Linked DNA regions of Rattus norvegicus. The protein of the gene in region 4 interacts with the protein of the main gene of each other region in a biochemical or structural test. Links are inferred from orthologs where the notes say so. Each region holds a gene or a part of one and is shown on either strand. Other genes may lie near its edges.

The links.
Region 1: the proteins of Sin3a (region 4) and Zbtb16 form a complex in vitro, tested with the Homo sapiens proteins (3 studies listed by BioGRID). The link is inferred for Rattus norvegicus from reciprocal best matches to the Homo sapiens genes SIN3A and ZBTB16.
Region 2: the proteins of Sin3a (region 4) and Klf16 form a complex in vitro, tested with the Homo sapiens proteins (2 studies listed by BioGRID). The link is inferred for Rattus norvegicus from reciprocal best matches to the Homo sapiens genes SIN3A and KLF16.
Region 3: the proteins of Sin3a (region 4) and Mecp2 form a complex in vitro, tested with the Homo sapiens proteins (2 studies listed by BioGRID). The link is inferred for Rattus norvegicus from reciprocal best matches to the Homo sapiens genes SIN3A and MECP2.

The regions. Positions count from the first base shown.
Region 1 is NC_086026.1:58,070,706-58,074,742, reverse strand, and holds the start of Zbtb16 (zinc finger and BTB domain-containing protein 16), read left to right. Parts: upstream 1-1,235; 5' UTR 1,236-1,306; intron 1,307-1,330; exon of another isoform or gene 1,331-1,577; intron 1,578-1,873; exon of another isoform or gene 1,874-2,015; intron 2,016-4,037. UniProt on the Homo sapiens protein: Acts as a transcriptional repressor. Transcriptional repression may be mediated through recruitment of histone deacetylases to target promoters. May play a role in myeloid maturation and in the development and/or maintenance of other differentiated tissues.
Region 2 is NC_086025.1:9,787,698-9,791,986, forward strand, and holds the start of Klf16 (Krueppel-like factor 16), read left to right. Parts: upstream 1-1,487; 5' UTR 1,488-1,570; coding exon 1,571-2,024; intron 2,025-4,289. UniProt on the Homo sapiens protein: Transcription factor that binds GC and GT boxes and displaces Sp1 and Sp3 from these sequences. Modulates dopaminergic transmission in the brain.
Region 3 is NC_086039.1:156,993,101-156,997,307, reverse strand, and holds the start of Mecp2 (methyl-CpG-binding protein 2), read left to right. Parts: upstream 1-1,405; 5' UTR 1,406-1,414; coding exon of another isoform or gene 1,415-1,524; intron 1,525-1,602; exon of another isoform or gene 1,603-4,207. UniProt on the Homo sapiens protein: Chromosomal protein that binds to methylated DNA. It can bind specifically to a single methyl-CpG pair. It is not influenced by sequences flanking the methyl-CpGs.
Region 4 is NC_086026.1:66,380,291-66,384,586, reverse strand, and holds the start of Sin3a (paired amphipathic helix protein Sin3a), read right to left. Parts: upstream 2,805-4,296; 5' UTR 2,668-2,804; intron 2,580-2,667; exon of another isoform or gene 2,321-2,579; intron 558-2,320; exon of another isoform or gene 452-557; intron 1-451. UniProt on the Homo sapiens protein: Acts as a transcriptional repressor. Corepressor for REST. Interacts with MXI1 to repress MYC responsive genes and antagonize MYC oncogenic activities. Also interacts with MXD1-MAX heterodimers to repress transcription by tethering SIN3A to DNA.

The sequences.
Region 1 (4,037 bases), about 8.3 Mb from region 4:
GCTGGGGCTTTTGAGGGAGGCTCGAGCTCAGAAAAGTACCTCCCCCCCCCCCAATCTCCTGCCCAGTTTCATGTGAAAAGGAAGAGACGGAGCTTTCCGCAGGTAGAGGAAGGACAGATTTTTCTTTGGTTTACGGTTTGGCATCTCAACTACGCCCTTTAAAGTGGGCCAGCCGCCGAGGGAAGAAAGAACTCTGGAGCGGCCTAGCGCTCTTCGTAGCTTCCAGTCGCTCCGGAAGGCTGAGCTGAGCTAGGCGCAGGATCTTCACAACTTTCCATCCAGGTTCTTGGGGCCGGGGGAAAATAAGGGGAGGATGCCTGAGATTGGGAGTGAGAAAGTATTACTACTCGGGCCTTGACATCTCAGTTTGCGACAATCTAGATTGCAAAACCGAGGTGTCACCTCCTACCAGTTCTCTACTGGCCCCTCTGGATTTATCTGGCCAAATCCCGCTAACTCAGACGCTCATCCCCGCGGGCAGGCATGAGAGGCCTGGTTTGGGACTGGGGAAACGACCCATTTAAAACTAGTGTCTAGGGTAAGGAAGGATGCAGTCCGAATCCCGAGGAAAAGTGAAAGGCTAGATGCCACACACTGGTGCAAATAATAGAGAACGGGACAAAACTGCGCTCCTGAGCACCGGAGTTGGGGGAGTTGGGGACGCGGGATAAACCGCATGCCCAGTGGAAATGAAAAACCTGGTGCTAAAGTGGGAACTGTTCCTCCCTCTCATCCTTCTGACCCCTTGGGGGTTGCCAGATCCTCTGCGGCTCCTCTTCCTTGCAACCTTTTGCCCTCTCCACCTAGCCACGGGCAACAGCCGCTGGCGCCGGGGCAGCAGCTAGATGTCAGGAGAAGCCCGGAGCGCCGAGCGCTGGGAAGGGAGGGGAGCGCCCGGGAAGGGAGGGCAGGGCTGGGAGCGCGCACGGGCTCAGCCAGGGCGGGGGTGGGGCGGGGTGGGCGGGCCAGGGCCGGCCAGGGGGAGGGGAGGGGGCAGCTGTGGGCAGGGAGCCGGGCTCGGCCGCCAGCACTAAAGATGGAGAGGCGCCGGGGCCTCGCAGGGGAGGGGGCTCGGCGTTGACGTGGGACGCGGCGGAGGCGCCGCAGCCGGTGGTGATTTGCTAACCTAGCGGCAGAGAGGAGTTAAGGGTGATGAGAGCGGGTACTGCGAACTGCCGGGCGATGCCGCCGCTGCCGCCGTGAGATCCGGAGCAACAGTTCCCCAGCAACACCCCTTCCCCGATCCAGGCACACCCCTAACCCCCCAGGCACGCACACCCACCCCAAGCTCCCGGCTCTGCAAGCGGTAAGTGTATGTGTGTAGGGAACCCGGGAAGGACTCGCACCGCCCAGCGACCGCCTCCCGCCAGGCGCCCTGGGGCGGGAGAGGTTTAGGCGGGTGGCGCTAGCTTTGGCCACTCGGCCGCTGGGCTCGTGCGGGGTTCTCTGGTTGCTGCTGCTGCTTCTGCAGCGATCGCCCGTGCCGGTTGGGGGTCAGCTAGAAAGCGGAGCCGAGGCTGTCAGCTCGGGCGCAGCTGCCTCACCAACCTTCCTCCTCCGGGCACGGTCCGGTCCGGGTGAGAGGTGGCAGGCCGGGAGGTCTGCCAGGGCTGCGGGAGCGTATAGTCGGGGACTGGGTGTCTTTGTACAGGCAAGGGCTGGCGGAGGAGCAGAGAGCCTGTGGGTGCTCATATGTATGCGGACCGGTGCGCTTGGCGTGAGCTAGGATTGTGTCTTATTTATTTGTGTTTATTCGCTGGCGGGCTGGGGAGCTGGAACCGGAGGAAGCGAGGAGTGAACCTGGAGGGCGGGTGGGAGGGGACTGGTACCCGCTCGGGTTTTGTTTTCTTTAGAGAAAACGTGGTGGGATTTTTCTTCTTCTTGATTGGACTTGATGCCCCCTTTTAAGGAGAGAGGGAAGCTTCGGAGAGACTCTGGCGCTCCGGGTCCTCCTCGGCTCTCGGTGGGAACAGCCCGTGGAGCCGGAGCTCGCTGTGCGCTCCCGGCCGCGCACGGTGGGTTCCCGGCTCTGCACCTGATGCATTCGGAATGTCTTTCCCACCCTGGCGCGCTGCAAGCTTGCCCAGCCCCTCGCACGCTCCCGCACGCGCTCGAAATGCGCACGATCCTGGCAGCCTGCGGACCCCACCGGAATGCACAGACGCGCACCGCTGCAACCAGCTCGCCTCCTCCCCGCCACGCTCCCAGCGTGTCTGACTCGGGCACGCCGGCAGCTGGTGCGGGAGGCCGGGGACCCTGCTGGTGGCTTCCCAGGGATCTCGATCCTGGGTGGAAGGTGGAGGACCCAGAGATCTCTTCTCGCTTGGCCTCCCACCACTTGCCTCGGGGCTTTTTGTGCTTCCTTTTCTCCCCCGGGGGGTTGCGCCGTCCGGCCGGCCTAGCAGCGGCGTCCAGCCGGCTCGGACATTCTCCTTTCCCGGGTCTCTTTCGCTTTCCTCCTTTTTTCAGCTCCGATCCCTTTCTTCCAGGCACCTGACTCCCGGGGAAAAGTTGCTTTTCCAAGTTTGCCAAAGTCCTCTGCAAGTCTAGGCGGGGGGTCTCTGGGAACAAGGGGTGTGTTGCGCCATCGATCCTTGGAGCTCTGTGGCGGGTTAGCGCTGGCTTTGCCCAGAGTCGGCTGACCGCTGCACCTAGCGACAGTCGGATCGGGTGCGGAGCTGCGGGTTAGGGAGAGGGCACCTTGATTTCCCTTAAGGCTCAAAAGGCTCCTTTGGAGGAAGATATTTGGCAGAGAACCTTCTTTATTTCGGCTTCTCTCCCTTAGTTCTTGAATCTCTGATCTCTCCCGAAAGCACACCATGTTCAAGAAGCTTTTGACGAATGAATATCTCACCACTGTTGATGCCCTCCGTTTCTACTTTGGGGTGGGCAGTAAGAGTGGCCAGCCAGTACTGTTAACTCTTTCTGCATGAGTTTTGCGTCTAAGGGTCCTTAAGACTCTCGTTGAGGGTGAAGGCATGCTCTATGAAGAGTGCGTGAGAAGCCTAGCTCTCTCCACCCTCTCTCCCCAGGCTGTGTGAAATGTTGGCTGCAGACAGAGGTTGAGACCTTATCCCGTTAGGTCTTTCTGCCCATGTCTCAATGGCTGTTCAAAGTCGAGAGCCTCTCAGTCATCCAGAATACACTCTGGGAGAGGCCTTTGTGTCTCAGCTCTGTCTTCCCTTCCTTCTGGGCTTAACTCACGCCAGAGATGCTGGTGCCAATGTCACTTACAGAACCATATTCAGTGTCAGTTTTTCTCCTTGTCACTGGGCTTGCCAACACCTGGGAGGCATCCAGTCTGGTGTGAACCCTCAAGGCTGTTGGGAACATAGCCTCCTATGATGTTCTCTGCTTTCTCTTCTTAGAGCGTTCTGTCCATTGGTGCCTTGTGGGCCAGAGGTAAAAGAGGGGGTTGTAGCATCTTGTATAATTGTATGTAGATGTGGGTGAGCGAACACACACACACACACACACACACACACACACACACACATCTCTTGGACACATACAGCAACTTTGAGGAACTTGTAGTTAGAAATGACTTAAGCTAGAATGTGATGTGGTAGGGGTGGGGTGGGGGTGTGTGTGGTGGGGTGTGTTTGTCCCAGCCTAAGAAATGGGTCTGCCAATCCTTTGCAGCCCTGACCAGAGTGCAAGGACAAAGGCTGTAGAAGTCACTGATGATGGAGAGGAGATGTGTCTGGGATGACTAGGAGAGGACAACCCCATTGCCTGCAGATAGGAGACCAACCATCATGTTTAGCAGCCAGTGCTGGCAGGCTCTGGTTGTCTCCTAAGGCCGTCTCAGTGAGCGAGAACTAGAAAGCCATTGAGGATGAGGGTTTGCCAATAGGGAGGGGGTGAGCGGTAAGACTGAATGCTTAGGTTGACTAAGGGGAGGGGTTGAAAACTCCTTAATTTTAAGTAAGTTTGTGAGCCTCATGTTGGACACTGGTCTTACACAGGAAGGCTCTGCTCTCAGGCTTAAAGAATGGCTAGGATTCAATGCACTTTATCCAATGCACTGCTTCAGA
Region 2 (4,289 bases), on a different chromosome or scaffold from region 4:
ACAAAGTGTCAACACAAAGTATAGTGGGGCCTAGGGAAACACGGCCAACTCGACGGTAGAGAGATGGAACCTGACCAAGTAAGACAGCTTGGAGTACAGGTCGGGAAAGTAGACACGACACCCAGAGTAGGGGCCTCTGCCACCGTTTAGCCTTTGCTGGAGAATAAACATGATGGAGCTGGGGTGCTCCGCCCACTGGAGGCTGCGCAGGCCACTGCATGGCCTCGACAACCCGGCGGGAGTTAGGAAGGGGCGGGAGCCTGGTCTCCTACTTCCGCGCAACCGGCGCCTGGGGCCTGTGGCTTTTAGGGGACCATCATTTCACAACTTGGCCGATTATCCATGCAAGTTTCCAATCGCTCCTTTAGTCAGCCTCAGTTTGCCCTCCCCCAGTCTCAAGGGCCCAGCTGGGGAAGGGAAGAAACGACCCGAACTCTGGTATCCCGAGCTTGGCACAGATGACCGAGCCAGGCCATTTTATTGCAGCTCCGCTCACTTTTGCCATACCGGTTATCCACAGGCCTAGTGATTCCCGAATCCCGGTGCGCAAAGACGAACGCTACAGACTCGATCAGCCAGGCAGGGTGGTGGGTACCCTACACTGAAAAGTTCCACCTTTGGGATATTTTGTTCCCCAAACCAAGAATGGCATTGGGGACCCAGAGATGGGGAGTCAGAACCTGTGGGTTAATGCCCTGTTCCAGGGCGAGGAAGGAGGGGGAGGGTCGCGCACGTGGCTCGGGGGCGGGGCAGCGCGCTTCCGCACCCCCACCCTGGCCACGTGCGGAACGCAACCCCCACACACATACACCGCGGACAGGGGCGCGTCCCAGTGCCTGAATGTTGGGGGAGGGACGAGTTGGAGAGGGGAGGGCTCCCGGCGACTGCGCACCCCGCACAGCGTGGTGGGCGCGCCGGGAAGGAGATGGAGCGCGCACCCCGAGGAGGCGTGGCGCGCACTGGGGTAAAGGCGGGGCATCCGAGGCTGGGGTGGGGTGTGTGGGCGTGTCGCAGGGGTGGGCGTAACTCTCAACGCGTTGGGAGGTGGCGATCCAGGAAGGGCACCGGTAGGGGTAGTGCGTGCCAGACCAGAGGAACGGTTTGCCTCCGCTGGCTTGTTCTTGAGTGGAGAGGACACAATCCAGGGTGATAGGGGACCCCGGGTGCTCTGCTGGTACACGAGAGTGTCGAAGTGGGGGAGGACCGGCAGCTGGCGTAGTGAGCTCCGCCCATCCGCGGCGGCGCGCGACTCTCCGGACGACAGAGGGCGCGGCAGGAGGGGGCGTGACCGCGGTGGGGAGAGGGCGTGGCCACTGAACCCCGAGGGGGCGTCCTACGGGCGGGGCGGGCCGTGGCCGCCCCCGCGGGCTCCGGTGCGTCAGGGAGCGTCAGGCGGGGCGGGGCGGGGCGGGACTGAGCGCGGGCGGCGGCGGCGCGCCGGGGGCCTCCTCCTCCCTTCCCTCCTCCGCCTCCCGCACTCCAGCAGCCGCTGCCGGCCGGACGGGCGTAGGTCCCGCCGCCTCCGCCTCTCTCCCGCCGCGGATCCCGTGCCTCCGCGTCCTTGCCCGGCATGTCGGCGGCCGTGGCGTGTGTGGATTACTTTGCCGCCGACGTGCTCATGGCCATCTCTTCGGGAGCCGTGGTGCATCGCGGGCGACCCGGCCCCGAGGGCGCGGGCCCCGCTGCCGGCCTGGATGTGCGCGCCACGCGCCGCGAGGCCACGCCGCCGGGGACCCCTGGGGCACCGCCACCGCCAGCCACCGCTCCGGGGTCGGGAGGCGCCACCGCTGCGCCCCACCTGCTGGCCGCCAGCATCCTGGCCGATCTGAGAGGCGGGCCGGGAGTCGCCACAGCAGCCAACACCGCGGGGGGCACCTCTCCGGTCTCCTCCTCCTCGGCCGCTTCGTCTCCGTCTTCGGGCCGCGCCCCCGGCGCGGCCAAGAGCCACCGCTGTCCCTTCCCAGGCTGCGCCAAAGCCTATTACAAGTCTTCGCACCTCAAGTCACACCTGCGGACTCACACAGGTAAGCCCCTCGTTTTTTGCACCGGTGGGTTCAGGGAGTGCAGTAGAGAGATCTCGGGAACCCCATTTCCCCCTCACACTTGGAACCCCGAAACTGCGTGGCGCGTGGGGGGCGGGGAGGGGGGCGCGCCCAGGCTTCAGCGGCCCGCCGGCCGGGAGGGCGGGGACGTGGTGGGTGGGGCGCGCGCGGGGAGGCGTGGCGGCCACGCGGTCGGGCGGCGCGCTGAGGGCGGCCGGGGTGGCCAAATCTCCCGCGACTGCAGGTCGTTCGGTATCCACCCTGGCGTGGTGGGTTCAGCACGTGCGATCGCAGCCCTCAGCTTCCTAACCTCAGTCCCGCTTGCTGTTTCTGTCCTGCTTTTTTGTGCTCATGGTCTCTCATGCTTGGTGGTCAGAACATCCGGTTCCGTAGTTCCTCCGCCCTCCCCCAGCCTCAGTTTCCTTATCTGTGAAGAGGGTTGGTAGATCCGGGTTACCGCCTCCGGGGTAGCAGCGCGGATTCCCTCCGAAGGGCAGCGAAGCCTACAGCATAGGGTTAAGTGATAGCGGTGGTGAGGGGGTGGCTGCCCGGGACATTTTTCTTTCCATTCTGTGTACTTGAACGTGGTGGAGTGAGGCCACGACCCGGACCCGGAGTTGGGGCTTGAATCTTCAATCCAATAGGATTGAAATACCCACCACAACTCTCCTCCCACCTCTTGTGTTGGCCCACTCCACACACCTGTGATCGATCTGTTCAAGGTCCAAGGTGGGCAACGAGCTTTAGCCACACCAAGTGTTTCTGGGAAGCCCAAATGGATGAGACAAAAGCTTTTGCTAGGTACTGGCTGCTTCCTGACCTGGATGATCCAAGGGTCTGTCCGTGTTAGCTGGGAGTGTGCACTGGGATTTGAGAATCCACCCCTTTGGCAGTGGTGTGATCTACAGCTCTGAGGCCTCCCTGGAATAGGGCCACCCGTCTGTTATGCCCCTAATTTACTTGCTTTTGGTCCACCATCTCCTGCCTACATAAAAGATAGAGGCCGCCTTTCTCTTACAGTTGCTGTGGGCAACAAGGCACCCAAACAGGGCTTGATTGATCGGGGGCTTCCATCACGGTCACACTGGGAGAGTTTAGGACAGCCCCCATAGGTGCGTGGGTGGCCTCAGGCATGTTCAGGGCAGGTAGGGGGGTAGGGGAGCCATCTTTGGATCCTGCTGAGCCAGAAAGTGGGCATAGATGGTGCCTCCTCTCGCTCTGTCTTTGAGCCGCTGCCCTTAGCCCCTGTGGTGTAGAGGCTGCCCCCATGTTGGTGCCCACATGCACAGGCAGCTCCATATGAATACGCCATTCTCTCTACAGAACATTTGAGGGGGCCACACAGATAGCAAGGCTGTGTGAGTGTGAGTGAGAGGGAGGGGGGAGGAAGAGAATGGAGAGAGATCTCTCTCTTTGCCACACAGTGGAGTCCAGGGTGTCCTGGTTCATGCTAAGTGAGTTTGGCCACGCAGTGATGGGACCCTGTCTGATTCAGGCTGCACCGCCCACACTTTCCAAACCAGCAGTCTTTCTGGTTCCCAGAACTTGGGGTGGGTAAAAGAGGAGTCCAGTGTCCTCCCCACATACCTCCTGGGACATCAGGAGACAGTTCTGTTACTCAGCTGTCAAAGGCTGTAGGCCATCCCTAAACTGGGAGGGTGACCTGGTGGGCCAGAGCAACTGAGAGCTGAGAGCTGAAATCTGGGGTCTGGGGATGACGGCAGTGACCTGGGGTGTGGGGTGGCTTCCACACTTCACTGGCTCCTTGTGTCAACACCAGGGGAGAGGGGTTGCTATGTCCCCAAACCCCGAATTATAGCCATTTGTGGGACCGGGAGATTCACGGGGGTCTGGGCACCTTTATGTTATTTTGGGGGTATCTGGGGACCACTTACCTTCGGTTCTGCCGTTTAGTTGTTTAAATGACTTATCCTTGTAGACAGGACCACTGCAGCCCTGGCAGTCCTAGGACTTGCTCTGTAGACTAGGCTGGCCTTAAACTAACTCACAGATTGGCCTGCCTCTGCCTCTCGAGTACTGGGATTAAAGACGTGCACCACCAGGCCTCATTTTTTGAGATATGTTTGTTCTCACTCTGTAGCCCAGGCTAACTTTGAAACTCAAGGAAATCCTCCTGCTTCAGCTTTCTCCTGAGGGCCACAGCTGACTTGCCCAGTCTCTCCTCTGTGGAGAGACTGTGTGGTCACAGACACCTCGGGTGCTGGGCCTGGGGTAGATCTGGTCTCC
Region 3 (4,207 bases), on a different chromosome or scaffold from region 4:
TCATCATCCCCCTTCTTCTTCTCCCCACCCCAACTGTTGTCAGGACCTCTGGACTGGCCTGTTCTCCATTCTTCACTGGCAACATAGGTTTTATGATGCCAGCTAGTGACTCAAGTATCAAGGGCTTCTCATCTCAAAATAATCTCCCAGTTCTTTTGGTGACCTAAGTCTCTCTCCAGTCACACTGGCCTCCTTGGCAAGACATGCATAGTCCTTCCTTAGAGTGTTTAAACTTGCCTAGAATGTTTTCCCCAGTTACCCATATTGGGGGATGACATGGGCAAGTGCTAGAGGTTATCAAAATAGCACTCCTTTCGCTCTTGCCCTATTTCAAAGTCTTTATGAAAAATTTTAAATTCTACTTACTTGTATGTTTAGTATGATTCTTTCTTACCAGGATTCTAGTCTGTCTCCTTGTTCAGTACTAAAACAGTGCCTAGCAACTAAATGAATGGAGAGGGGAGCCAAATTTGAATCCAAAAGTCTCCTATTGAGCACAGGATTAGCACAAGGAGCATCGAATGCTGACTAGTATAAGGGTAAGGTTGCTTTGACAATCCTGACACCTTATTACCTAAACCTTCCCTCATACTCTGAAATCCAGATTGCTGGATCTCAGGTCTTCAAAGCAGGGCTGCTTCCTCTGGGCTCACTCTCTTTTATACTTACTTCAATCAAACCTTCTGATTCAACAATGACAGACAAATCTCTTATTAGCTTGGCATCTGACATCTGCCCACTATAAAGGTCTGCAAAGACCAGGATTTGTTTGATATGTTGATTTTACTGCCTTAAGAGTGCTAATTAGGTGGAATAATACAATTGGTAGAGCCTTTAAAACAAGTCCCTTGGCTTGGAACAACATCAGGCTCCTCAACAGGCAACTTTGCTGCTTCTACAGAAAATGATACTAAGAAAATGCTGGTGCAGTTAAATGCTTATCACAGCGTGCCCGATGCGCTTGCGGATAGAGGGCAGGGCGGTTCTAATAGGCGACAAGAGCCTAGACTTCCTTAAGCGCCAGAGTCCACAAGGGCCCCGTTAATCCTCAACATTCAAACGCTGCCCACAAAACCAGCCCCTCTGTGCCCTAGCCGCCTCTTTTCTCGAAGTGACAGTAGACCTCCACCAATCCGCAGCTGAATGGGGTCCGCCCCTTTTCCCTGCCTAAACAGACAGGAACTCCTGCCAATTGAGGGTGTCACCGCTAAGGCCCCGCCCCAGCCTGAGCTCCACAGCCAATAGAGGGTAAACTCGACAAAGCGCTGCCGTTAGGGCGCGGGCGCGCAGGTGCAGCAGCGCCCAGGCTGGCCGGGAGGGCGGGGCGCGACGTCGGCCGTGCGGGGTCCCGGCATCGGTTGCGCGCGCGCTCCCTCCTCTCGGAGAGAGGGCTGTGGTAAAAGCCGTCCGGAAAATGGCCGCCGCCGCTGCCGCCGCTGCCGCCGCCGCCGCCGCCGCTGCCGCCGCCGCCGCCGCCGCCGCCGCCGCGCCGAGCGGAGGAGGAGGAGGCGAGGAGGAGAGACTGTGAGTGGGACCGCCAAGGCTGCGGGCGGGGACCCTTGCTGGGGGGGGCGGGGGGTAGGGGCGGGACGTGGCGCGGGAGGGGCCCGCGGGGTCGGGCGACACGGCTGGCGGATGGCGTCCCTCCTCTCTACCCTCCCCCTCTCTCTGTCGCCGGTGGTGGCTTTCTCCACTTGTCTCCCGCAATTGCGAGCGACGGTCCTCAGCGCGATCTCCCTCGAGCCACCTTCGAATGACGCCCTCCCGCTGCCCGCTGCCCGCCCCATCTGTGCGCATCTTGGGCCCCAGCCTTTGCAAGCGCCCTTGTCGTCTGGGTTTCGCCAGTTGGGGCTGTGCGCGCTCCTGCCCTTCTTGGGGTTTTGGGCCGCGGCACTGCCGCGCGCCCGCGGTCCCGGCCTCTCCCTGGATCGCGCTGTCCCCTCTCCCTCGCGCGCCCCCACTCCCGTTACTCGCTCCCCCCCCCCACATACTGGCGCGCGTGCGCAGTCCATCTCCCGTTGGGAGAGTGCGCCACAAGGGCTCCTGAGCTCTTACCCCCATCTCTGGATTTTGCTCCCTCCTTCTCCTCTCCCATTCCATGACTTTTTGCCCCCACTGCAAGCGAGTCAGTCCATCAGCTCCATTCCCCACTTGGCAGGAACAAGTTGGGGGTTAGTGTCCACCCACAAAAAGGACTAGACACTATGTTCCTAGGTCCCACAACTCATCATAAAGAGATGGTTGTAGTTCTCATCAGGAACCGTGGGCTAGGGACTGTGCGTTCCTCAGCACTCGAAGCTCTTCCGTGAGACCATGCCCGCAGGGTGCTCTGGTTCTTTGGGGATGCTGTACTGTGGCTTCGGAATATGAGCGTCTTCCCACCCTCCCTCCCCTCCCTTCGCCAGCGATCATCCAGTTACATAAGTGGAATGGGACTTTGTATGTAATGGGCTCTCTTGGTCCTGGAGTGCTCAGGATCTCCAGTACCAAACATCGCTATGACTCCTCTGTCAATTATCTCTGAAAGTTCATTCTCTTTTTAGTTCGGTTATGACTGAATCACTTAAAATAAAACACAGGTGACTTTTATGTGTCAGTAGCAATGTTTCTGAGGTTTTGCACTAAAGGTTTAATCAATCGTGGTGGAGTCTAAAAAGATTCGGTTTCACAAGAAAGACCCTGGTGTGACATTGTTAAGTATGGACCCCCGCAGGGCAAAGCTTGCTAGGGAATACCTCTGTGCTAGTTCTTTGTATGTTCCGGTAAAGGTTCATCAAAACAAAAATGGGCTCCACCATAAAATTGATATTCCTGACTCATAGTCAGGGAGATATGTACTCCTGGTTAATTTTCCAGGAACACAAATGGGCTCTGTTGAGTCATTTGCATGTCGTCTTCAGTGTTTGGAATCATTACCCCAAACAGTGAGACAATAATCTCAAATATAGGGTTGTTGATGGCGATCATGAAACAGAATGAACTAATTTATAGTGCTAAGTGACTGAGATGTTGTAGGACTCTCACAAGTTCTAGATGTTTTTGATATACTACGTAAATGAAACCAATTTGGGCCTGGGTAGTAAAATTTCACTAATAGGTAAATTATTATTGTATTTTGGGTTTGTGGTTGGATTTATGTGAATCTCAGCAATTTCAATTAATAACATGATTTAAGCTGATGTCTTAGGTTCTTTGAAATATGTTGGATCTCTATAAAAAAAAGTTTGGACTGTTAGGTCCTTGGGGAATTTCCACCAAGGATTTGGAAAAATATATTTATAGGCTTTGGTTTTTTGTGTGTTTGTTTTTAACTTCAAATTCAAGTCATACTCAGAAAGCCTAGAAAACACTTGCTTTTATCTTCTTACCTGGGTATGTCAGAACCTTAAAGAATCCACACACTTTAAAAGTACAAATGATCTAAAATGAGTTAATACACATAACCCATTCATTAAACAAATTGCTGACCGACAGACAGAGTGCATTCACTTTCACAAACACACCCAAAAGATTTCAAAGTTTATACATTTGAGCCTGAGCTCAGAGTCGAAACCTTTACTTTGTTTTCATATTCTGTAACATGTTTGCTTCCTCAGGTGCCCCTCGGGTTAGCTATTTGTTTTACTCATAGCTCTTTAAACATTGTAAGCAACTTTTAAAACAGTTTCCTTTCAAAGTTCCTGTTGACATCTGAAGTTAGTGTGTCCTAAGAATTTGAAGAAACTATATGACTTTCTTGCTAGTATTGATCTATCACACATGCCTATTTCCTTTCCATGAGAATGTGTCTTGAGTGCTTTAAAGCTACAGTAACAGGTTCCTCTTTCACTGAAGAAGAAAGCATCATGTAGACGTTGTACTCCAAGGATTATTTTTTTCCTTTTTGTTGTTATTGTTATACTGGTGGTTAGACCCAGGACTTCATGCTTGCCAGGCAATCACCTCATATCCTTAGCTGCCTTCTGTTTTTTGTGCTGTTTGAATCCTGAGGTACACATGACCACAAAGACCACACGTAGACCACAAAGGTTTTGGAAGCTTATTATATGTTTTTGCAATCTGTGTTTGTATTTTCCAGATAGAGTTGTTCCCTCTGCCTGATCTGCTTCTATGAAGCTTAATCTATTGGGGACAGGGAGACAAAGCTATGGAGTTTGAAGGAAAAACCTGCTAAATTCTATGTTCTAGTGCCCCAACTCCACCCATG
Region 4 (4,296 bases):
TGTGCTTTGCCAGGAATCTAATTAATACCGATCTCAAGTCTTAAAAAAAAGAAGAAAAAAAAACTTCTTTATGCGAACTATTAAGGCCTGAATTTAAAAGTATTAACATTTTTCAAAGCTATATTTCTGTTTTTTTCACACGTGTATAGATATATGGGTATGCACCTGTGTCTGGGTGCCTAGGGGCCAGAGGTGTCAGTACTTGGAGCTCCAGATACATGTTGACATGGGTGCTAAAAACTGAACTCAGGTTCTCTTAGATACTAGTAAGTAAAAATAAACATATAGTACTGATGGATGGAAATGTAAAAATAGAAAAAACAAAAACAAAAGCAAACAAATATAACTAGGTTCTTGAATTTTTAAAGCCTAGGACTTGTGACTCCAGCACACAATCTAGAATACACATTCTATAAGAGTACGAATTATGCCCAGCAGTGGCGGCACATGCCTTTAATCCCAGCGTTTGGGGGGCAGACAGATCTCTTGAATTTGAGTCCAGCCTGGTCTAGAGGGTGAGCTCCAGGACACCCAGGGCTACAGTTAAACTCTTGTTTCTAAAAACAAAACAAGAAAAACAAAAAAGATATGAATTAGGTCATCTGTATTTCCCAGACTGTGCTTCAAATGGTAGAATTAACTGAGGTTAGGCAAACTTTCCTCAAAGGCTAAGCATTCTCTACTACCGTTTTCAATGTGCTACATCTGTAAGACACCCAAGTTCTTATCTTTTGGCCTCCACCTCAATTCTGTTACTACTGCTGTTGTCACTTTTTTAGCTGAAAAGTGAATATTTAACCTCTTCATTATGTACGGCACAGGGCATGGTTTTCAGCCTCTACTGAACAAAGGACAAATCCAGAATTTAGCTTCAGAAATTACATATAAACGATGGGGTTAGAGACGGCTCAATACAGACTGCAGACTGCTCGTGCAAAAGGACCTAAGTTGGGTTCCCAGAACCCATGTCGGGTGGCTCATAACCACCTGTTAACTCCACCTACAGGGGATCTAACATCCTATTCTGGCCTTACACACGCACGCACACTTTAATATAAATCTTTTTTAAAAGTGGTTTATACATACTCATTCAGACATCAATACATAAATTAAGGATTCAGTGTTTACTTTTCATAAAAAGTTCTCTAAATAAGATCAGCTAACACCAACCCACCTAATAAGGTTACCTGTGCAATAAATCCACAATGGCCAAAGTAACACAGGTTGGGAGGTCATGCTACACATAGGTTTCATAAGGTTCAACCTACTTAGCATCTAAAAAGATCTTTAAGGACTAACAATTACATAAAACTAAAAGAGAACACAAAATTTTAAGTTACCTTTGTGCAGCTAAGCTTATATAACAAAACCTTCTGTAGGTTAAAAAAAAATCAAGAAATCAAAGTATTTTACTTAAATTAAAAAGAAAAATTCTGACTAGAGGAAAAAAAATCAGCCCTGGGGTATAACCTAGTGGTGAAGCAATACTTATGTGCCTTAAATAAACTCCGACACACACAATCATCTTCAAATATCATCTCTGCCAAAGACCAGTTTTAAGATTAAGAAGTAAATTCAATCCTTTCTCTAGAAATACAGTCTCAGCTTTATAAGGAGCTGGAACGGCAAACTGAGTTTAAAGTCCTGAGGTACCAAAAATGGTAGCAAATTTTAGCTATCTACCCATGGGTGCACAGCTTAGCTCTGTTAAGGCACAGTAGCTGAACACCAAGGGAACTCTAGGAAAGGTTGGCGCCCTCCAGAATCTCAGTCTCTGAGTACGCTGCCCCTCCCCCACCGGCCACTGGCGGGGAAGCATGGGCCCAGCACCAGCCGCACCCCACCGCAGACACTCCAGAGAGGACGCTGAGTTTCTCGTCCCAATAATTACAACTAAGAGGAGCAGCTGACCACGCTTCTACTCTCCATAGCTTTTAAGGCGCCATTCACGATGCGTGAAGCAAAGTAGAGACTACAGCTCCGGGCCACGATGCCCCAAGCAGAATGGATGGAGAAGCCACAGCAGAAAGTCGGGACACCTCCACCGCTCCCAGTCTACAAGCGGCCTTCCCACCTACAGGGACGCAGGGCGGGGCAGACACGGAACCCTGACCCCTGCCAGACGCTACAGCGGGCTTTCCCCAGCTATGCTTCACAGCTAAGGAGGCGGAAATCCCGGCGGGGGCGGGGCGGGAGGGGCGTGGCATCACAGCCCCGGACGCGCCTTCCGGCCAACCGGATCCCGCTAAGGCGGGGGAACACAGGCTTCACGCCCCCTCGCCGCCGCGCCCTAAAAGCCACACGCCGGGACCCTCTTCTCGTCCCGCACACCCCGCGGACCCAAAGCAGTACAACCCGTGTCCCCGCCCACAAGGGGAGAAGGGGCGGGGCCACGGCCGCGGGCCTTTAGTCCCAGCCCGCCCCGCCCCTTTCTCCACCACCGCACGCGCGCCGGCCCCGCCTCTGATCGGCGGGACTAGGGCCCGCCCCTCCGTGCGCACCGGGACTACGCTCTCCTCCCCCTCCCGCACTGAGTGCGGCTCCGCTCCGCCCCCCACAGCCACGCACGGGAAGCCGAGGTCAGCCCCCCCGAAAAACACACGCCCTCCAGTCCCGGGTTACCCGCCACCCAGCTGCTGGGCAGACCGCGACGCGGCGTGCTCTCACCGCAAAAGCTCCAGCCACTCAGCCTGCGCGTCGCTCCCGGCGTGAGCCTCGCACCCAGCACGGAGGCCCCGGAACGGCGCGGGCACAGGCCCGCAAGAGCGGACTGGCAACCTCCTTTGCGCCTACGAAGCGGTCACAGGCCTGGGTGTCCAGACTGGGAAGGAGGGAGGGAGGGAGGGAAACTCTAAGGGGGGAAGGGGAGGGGGGAAGATGGAGAAACCGTCTCTGCCGCCTCTACCGCCGCGGCCGCTTCTCTGTTACCCGGGAAATCCCGCCCACTCTCCCGGCCCGCCCCGCCGAGGGAAGGCTTAACCTCGCTCCGCCACGGGATATATTACCCATCCGTCAATGGTTTAGCCAATCACCGTGCCGCAAAGGCCTATTCCCGCCCTCTTCCCTCGCTGGGAGGGGAGAGCAAGCCGCTCACCTTCTCCACGCCCCTATTGGCGGGGAGAGTCCCTAACTCAACCCCGCCTATTGGAGACTGATTGCCGAATCCCTCCTCCAGGCTCCAATACTATTGGAGGAAGAAGGGTACCTCGTCACATCTCATTGGAGAGTCTCACATATCCCTCCCCATACCGCCCCAGCCACAGGCCTAACAAATCGGCTCCCGCCTCCGCCGGTTCCCGCATTGGAAGACTACCTTTGCTTCTCTCATAGCCCTAGGAAGGTAAGTAACCAATGTGGGGTAAAAATGTCCTTAAGTGAGGCCGACTCCACCCACTACACTGCTGGGCCAGGCTCCGCCCCCAAAGATCTGATTGGACTATCTTGGCGCCGGTAGGAGCCGCCATTGGACACGGCGCCGGTCCAGGAAGGAGACCATTCCGCCCTGCGCGAGGATGCTGAACCTTAGCAGTCCTTTTGTGGAATGTTTACACTGGAGACTGAAGCTCAGCGTTCCAAGGCCGGGACCGGAGATGGCGCGCAGCGCAGCGGTCGAAACCGGAGGCTTTGAGATTTGAAAAGGAAAAGGCAGTAGTATTACCACCATTGGAGGATTAACCAAAACAATGACAGAAAGCCTCGTCCTTCCTACCCACTTATTTTTACACTTTCACGGTCTTCTAAACACAGCCATCTGGAGCACTCAGCAGCTACTTTCAGCAAGCCGACTCCAAAATTAATGTCTGGAGCTCTAATCTGATACAAAAAACCCAGATATTACTAGCCAGTCGCCAGAGCCGGCTGCATACTGTGACACTGGGACAACCAGAATCCGCAGCCCTCAGGGGGCGGAGATAACCCAGCGGAGGCCTTTAAATGTCACCGCCTGGGCAAGCCTCCGGAAGGCGGAGCATGAGAGAAAAAAAAATGTATTCCAGGTCGGCCGGGTAGATCCAGGGACATTTTAAACTGGAGGAAGGGATGCAGAAAAGCTCACACAGACCACTGTATAAATAAACCTTGAGTGTGCATTCACATTCAGATAACGAGTAAAAATTCCAGATTGTGTGAAGGATATGGTCTTAAAAACGACTGTTCAAAGGGAAGAGCCTGTAATCGCAACTATCCTCGATAGGGCAGGAATAGTGTCTCCTAGGCCAGCCCCTTCAAAAAAAAAATGTGAGGGGTATCCATGGCCTCCTTGGCAGAATGAGTTAATGGCGGTCTCTAAGCCTTCTT